Schizosaccharomyces pombe: one gene and its partner. The protein of the gene in region 2 interacts with the protein of the main gene of each other region in a biochemical or structural test. Each region holds a gene or a part of one and is shown on either strand. Other genes may lie near its edges. The genes, in order: ubi4 and mug105.

Evidence for each region.
Region 1: of the proteins of mug105 (region 2) and ubi4, one has a biochemical effect on the other in vitro, tested with the Schizosaccharomyces pombe proteins (one study listed by BioGRID).

Annotation. Positions count from the first base shown.
Region 1 is NC_003423.3:1,043,993-1,047,930, forward strand, and holds ubi4 (protein modifier, ubiquitin), read right to left. Parts: upstream 1,601-3,938; 5' UTR 1,575-1,600; coding exon 426-1,574; 3' UTR 279-425; downstream 1-278. Other genes in the region: Erg28 protein, read left to right, coding at 3,543-3,684, 3,796-3,886.
Region 2 is NC_003424.3:2,527,416-2,530,614, reverse strand, and holds mug105 (ubiquitin-fold modifier-specific protease), read right to left. Parts: upstream 1,541-3,199; 5' UTR 1,531-1,540; coding exon 796-1,530; 3' UTR 714-795; downstream 1-713. Other genes in the region: protein meu29, read right to left, coding at 1-477; protein Atg101, read right to left, coding at 1,971-2,461, 2,514-2,577. UniProt on the Schizosaccharomyces pombe protein: Deubiquitinase with endodeubiquitinase activity that preferentially cleaves 'Lys-48'-linked polyubiquitin chains. Shows only weak activity against 'Lys-63' and 'Lys-11'-linked chains. Has a role in meiosis.

The DNA of each region.
Region 1 (3,938 bases), on a different chromosome or scaffold from region 2:
AAAGGAGATATAGAATAATTAAGATATTCCCTTTAGAAAAGCGTCGAAATAAATAAATTAAGTAACGCTTGTTCGGTATAATTAATAAGAAGAATATAGCTTGGCGCTTCGCCCAGCTTTGATTATCTACGTAAGGGACGACAACAGTTTAACGCTGAAATTAGCTACTACTCAACGAAATTTAACCTCTTCCCTAATCAAACGCTATAACACTTTACATCGGTGAAATCAGGTCTCACTATTGCCTATAAATACAAACATGGATCGCACATTAAGAATATACTAAATTAAGTCAATAATATTATACCAACATAAATAAAGCAAAAAGCTATAGTATATTGCTATAATGCATTGTATAGTTATGGATAACTAAATCAGCCAATTGAAAAAACGTTAAAGTTGAACTAGTCAATTACAAAGGATGATTAAAAAAGACCGCCACGAAGACGAAGAACAAGGTGAAGAGTAGACTCCTTTTGAATGTTGTAATCTGAAAGAGTACGTCCATCTTCAAGTTGCTTACCAGCAAAAATAAGACGTTGTTGATCAGGAGGAATGCCTTCCTTATCCTGAATCTTGCTCTTTACGTTATCAATGGTGTCAGAAGACTCAACTTCCAATGTAATGGTTTTACCAGTCAAGGTTTTGACAAAAATTTGCATACCGCCACGAAGACGAAGAACAAGATGTAGAGTAGACTCCTTTTGAATGTTGTAATCTGAAAGAGTACGTCCGTCTTCAAGTTGCTTACCAGCAAAAATAAGACGTTGTTGATCAGGAGGAATGCCTTCCTTATCCTGAATCTTGCTCTTTACGTTATCAATGGTGTCAGAAGACTCAACTTCCAATGTAATGGTTTTACCAGTCAAGGTTTTGACAAAAATTTGCATACCGCCACGAAGACGAAGAACAAGGTGAAGAGTAGACTCCTTTTGAATGTTGTAATCTGAAAGAGTACGTCCGTCTTCAAGTTGCTTACCAGCAAAAATAAGACGTTGTTGATCAGGAGGAATGCCTTCCTTATCCTGAATCTTGCTCTTTACGTTATCAATGGTGTCAGAAGACTCAACTTCCAATGTAATGGTTTTACCAGTCAAGGTTTTGACAAAAATTTGCATACCGCCACGAAGACGAAGAACAAGATGTAGAGTAGACTCCTTTTGAATGTTGTAATCTGAAAGAGTACGTCCATCTTCAAGTTGCTTACCAGCAAAAATAAGACGTTGTTGATCAGGAGGAATGCCTTCCTTATCCTGAATCTTGCTCTTTACGTTATCAATGGTGTCAGAAGACTCAACTTCCAATGTAATGGTTTTACCAGTCAAGGTTTTGACAAAAATTTGCATACCGCCACGAAGACGAAGAACAAGGTGAAGAGTAGACTCCTTTTGAATGTTGTAATCTGAAAGAGTACGTCCATCTTCAAGTTGCTTACCAGCAAAAATAAGACGTTGTTGATCAGGAGGAATGCCTTCCTTATCCTGAATCTTGCTCTTTACATTGTCAATGGTATCGGAAGATTCAACTTCCAATGTAATAGTCTTTCCAGTTAATGTCTTGACGAAAATCTGCATGGTAGAGATTGTGTGTGTACAAATGCAAAGTAATGAAGGGGGGAAGCCACCTTTATATAGACGTCGCCACTGCTCCTCATTTTTCACTCATTCATAAAATCAAAATTTAAATACAATCTCCAATACGATAGTTTTTTCTAAATACATTTATGTATAGAAATTGAAGCATATGCACTCAAATTTTTGTTGTGTTTATAAATATACATTGCATCGATTCGTTCGTATGCCATGTTGTCTACTGTGTACGCAACAAAGATTCCTAGACGATATGATGTCACCTCGGTGTCAAAATTAGTCAGTGACCAAAAAAATACAGGAATCCCCCTTATCGCAATGTGAAATGGTGTCTGCAATTCAAACATATCGATCATTAACGTGGCTTTGCAAAACGACTAGTACGAGAGGAAACGATGCAACAGTACAAAATGAAATAGGATAAATATCTGTTTACGCACAGACACTTTGGGAGACATATTTCTAGTGCATAGGTAGTTGGGTAGCTGTTGATAAATCCATGTCAAATAAGCATATTGTTGTACTTTAAAACGAACGAATAAAAAGTAAACATGTCTTAAAAGATAAGATGCTTGGTACGAATAGGAAAGATAACGACTAACTTCTATCAGCAGAGTTACTGTCCATTTCAGTGTAGATGTGTCGCTACAAAGGAGGAATTAACATTTTTCTAGTCCTAGGCCGTTCAAATAGATATCCACAATTTGAAGAACAATTAAACAACATTATCTTTTCCAATTTCAATATTTGAATGAAATTTGCTCATAAATGTGCTTTCCTTTGTGGTTGAATGAGAAAATAATGACAAGACTATAAAATCATGTGCGATTTAAAAGACGAAAATAAAAAAAAAGTCGACAATACGAACGATTATTAAAAATCGTTTTACATCCTTAAAGTATTGTTTATCATCATTAGAAGCATAATCCGAAAGATACCATGGTCTACGATATATGTGCTCTTTGTAAATTTTGATGTTTATACTTTTTTTTGATGTGGGTCAGGTTTGTGACTGGGAATTTGGAGTAAGCTGCGCTCATGCTTCTTAGCGATAATTAGCATAGTTTAATGCTTTTTTAATGAATAATTTATATAGATGTTAGGTTTTAAAACGCAGATTTCTTATTCATATGGAATTCTACTAATTTCTTATGTAGCACACGGAGTATAATATATTTTGCTAATCAATAAGTTAACCGCCAACCTGAAATATTAGAATACTCATCTACTTTGAGCTGTTCCAGGTTACAATTGTACAAGTAGTATCAACCCATCCCTAGTATTTACATAAGTGTTTCCGTACAAACGGTGGGTTACTTACAATAAGATCATTAAAATAATTAATTCTCCTGATTATGGTTCTAAGGTTACTTGGATTTTTGAAAACTCTACTATCAAGTTATGTAAATTAAAAATAGTAAAGCCGGTACTTAATAAAAGTATACATTCTTGCCATTTTTTGGACAGCAATTCGGCTATGTATATTTGATCCTTGGTAGAATCCTTTCGTGTTTTTACTAAGATATACGAAAATATAAGTAGACGAGGATCTCTTACTACCTTTCTAATTGCTAATGTGCTAAGTCAGCCCCAGTTATCACAATCGTACAATGTCAACAATTCACCGGGACGTTACTTATGCAATAACCTAGTTGTAAGGATATTCTCACCGGTAAATCCCAACCCGAAATCAGCACTGAAAAAGAAATCTCTTTGAAACCTCAGTAAAAAAGCATCTCTTTTTACATTGAAAATAAGCTTACTTTGTTGTTTTATTATACTAAATCTGTCTTAGCATAGCGATATAAAACATAATGTTCGCATCGATTTTACTAATTAAGTTAGTGCAAAACCTGTCAATGTTATAAATTGCTCACAGTCGCTTTTCTCCAATTTAGTACTGTAATCCCTCAACTACACACTACTAGAAATTTAATATCCTAAGAAATAACAATGTCTCAAATACTAGCTATGCTCCCAGATAGTTTAGTTGCCAAATGGAATGTTGTGGTCAGTGTAGCGGCGCTTTTCAATACCGTTCAATCGTTTTTGACTCCAAAGTTGACTAAGCGTGTATATAGCAACACTAACGAAGGTAAGAATCATGGTTTTTACGAGTTTAATTGATTTATAATACACATAATAAGCTCTTTAATGATGCTTTTTTTTATTAGCTGATTATTTTTTGCTGACTTTATATCTGTAGTCAATGGATTACAAGGTCGTACTTTTGGCATCTGGACATTACTAAGTGCCATAGTGCGTTTTTATTGCGCATATCATATAACAAATCCAGAGTATGTTGAATCAAATCAAACATTCAATTTCCAAAATCATCTGATATTGTCT
Region 2 (3,199 bases):
ACGGAAACAGGCAGTTGCCAGATATGAAGCCGCAAGGAGGAGCACAAACGCAGCAGTGAATGGCTTTAATGAAAACAATTTCCAAGGCCTATGTAGTAATACTCCAGAGTAGGTCCATTCCAACTTATAGTTTAAAATGCATGTCTTAGTAATGCTGTCCATGGACAAGGCGACGGTTTTTTTGCACTCAATATTATAATCTATTACTTCTACATGAGAAGACTGATTAGGCCATACACAAGTCCATTTTAATAAATGAGGAGCAACGTTAAGTTGGTTATGCTGACAAATAGCCAAATCATTGCTGTGCGAGCTACACGCTGGTCCTTTGCAATGAAGCCGTGGTCCATCATCAACGTTGGAGGATTCAGAACTAAATTTTAATGCTTGAATTCTGTCCAGAGAATAAGTATATGCATAAGTATTTCCAATAAATAATGCAAAGAATAATAATACAGCAGTCTTGACAACAAACATTGTGCAAGGCTGGTAGTTGTTTACTTTTGGTAACAACTTTAGCCTTTATCCACATTCGGAAGCCAAAGTCGGATATACCGATGTAAACACCGAATTCACCGCAAAACAACAAATTTTAAATTCAATAACAATGTCGCTATATGAAAATATGAGAAACTATCAACAATTTTAAATATACGTATACTACATAGTAGTAAGTCAAAAGAGAATAATCAGATATATTATTATTTTTCAACAGTTTTTCCTTTTTCTATAAATTAATATATGGGGAAACGGCCTTCATAAATATTATGAAAAACATCACCAGCGCTTGGACAGCTAAAAGTCCGAAATTCTGGTAGAACGAACTTCCAGTTTTGAACTGAAATCATTTAAAAAAATGTTTTGCTTAAAATGTACCAATTGAAATTGTGAGAATTTCAAAGATCGCTTTTTTCGCATATAACAGTGATTAAAGTCCGCAATATTCACAAACTTTTTTTGAACACTCTGATAACGATCTGGATCAAGCACAACAAGAGTTTCTAAAGAAGAACAGAACCCAATGATAATGATAGAATGCCCTTGAAATTGTAAATAACATGGAGAAACATTGCTTGTATCATTAGAACTTTCAAAATGTTTTTTAACGTAAAGAAAAAGTGCATTGCTAGCAGAAGCTTCAGATCTGAAATCAAAGTCTACTAAAGCGACGTTGACAAACAACCCGGTAAATAGGCTATAAACCTCAGTAGCACCAATCCATTTACCATGCAAGTTGTCTCCTAATTGAGCATAACCTTCGGCATCTATACCTTTCATCCAAGCGCTGAGCAACAACGATTGCAAAGAATTGATTTCATAATTTCCACTACTAAAATTACGTTTAAACCAATTTGGATTGGTGTATTGAAGCCAGGAAATTAACATCTGTATATTGCGCCAACCACAGCCCCATCCACGATCAATACCGGTAACTGTGAAAAAATAATCGATGTCACCATCTGCTAATGAGCATCCATCTATGCCGAAATGCTGAAGTTGTCGTTTAAGCTGCTGCAAGCATTTTGACATAGTAAATTTCGAAATGTAAAAAGAAATGAGTAAATTTAAAAAATATTCACACGTTAAATCTCGGTAAGCTAAAAGTCGATTAAGAATGCGCCGGTCATTTTGTTAAAACAACTTTGGAAAGTACAAACGCTAATTTCAAAAATTATGGCTGTCAATTAAAGTCATGATATAAATGGCACAGCATCCGTCCTAAATCCAACTTTCTTATAACCCATGCGCGAATGTACTATATTAACGCATGCAAGTTTCATTAGTCCAAAATAATCAATTGCGAAAGGATTACAAGTAGCATGTAAATATACCATCGATACATAATTCTCCAGCAACATGTTAACATATGGAGCTTTGCGTCGCCAAACCGTATAGATGTATGGTGAATGAAGAATTTTAAATGCTGAATGAGAAATCAAGTTTGAAGTACAAACCTGGTGAGATTTGATTTAATCACCTCCACTAACGTTTTCTATAATCATTCGCTTCAGCAGTGAGCCCCAACCTTCTGTTGAAGTAGGAGTTACAATTTCATACGGGTAATTCCCGGAATCCATAGCAACTGGGGGCAGGTATGAAAGGCTTCGAAGGTTAACTGCTTGCACAATTTGCTCAACTGCTGCCTCTAGAGATAAAGAAGATTCTTGATAAGAGTCACCCTCTTCTAAAATGGTAGTGTGCAAGATCCATTGTTCCCAAGGAATTGTATTTCCCTTCCCAAACCAAGACTTTTTAGGCGATCTTTCATACAACAGTAAAATCATCTGACCATTTGCACCAGCCTCATTTCGAATGGTATCAATAAATTCCGCCGCTTTAGTTGCTAGTTGTTCATTTAGTTCTGCACCAACCAGAGTAGGAACCGTAATGTCTAAAACGTCAATTGTCCTAGCAGGAACAGTAGAAAACTGTCTATGAAATAGAATTACACCTAAAACGGCTAAAGGATTAGACTTTGATATGTAATATTTCCAGCAACTAATTTGACTTACCTTTTACAACCTCAGCAGCATACTTATAACCAATTTTCAGTTCAATTGTCACCGTGTTTGTCATTTAATCTCTAAAATTTTGGAAGAGTAAAATTGAGGAATGCAAACTAAGATACTTGCATTGAACTTTGAACTTGGTCAATCAAGTGAAATACATTACGTTCGTGCATATATAGGGTCCTCCAATTTTTTTAGGTAACGTGTTACTCGTTCTGAATCTCAATGTAAATAAACACTTTCTGCATTGTACATTGCAAAGCGTCCACATTTTTTTAAACATCTAATTATCCAATTAGTCTGTGAATTTAAATATTTTTAGTATTTGAAACTAGAAAACGATTAATTGTAAGAATTATATATGACGATAGATAATTGTAAATGTTTATTTTCCTACTAACACATGTGAGTTCAAAATGCAAGAAGGGACTTCCGAAGACCTGGCTCTAAAGAAAATCAACATTTTAACCTGAACTATCAATAGTGATTTTTTTAAATAATTTTTTTTAGTATATTAAAGTAAACACCAGTGTCTTAAGAGTTTTTACAGCATACATCAATTATAAATTTATAACTTAAGCAACATCTCTCGGATATTGTTTACTAAAGTAATTTTTTTAATTTTTATTTTACATATCTAAATCTATCTATATTACTGGTAAACTAATTATATGGATGGTATTTGTCTG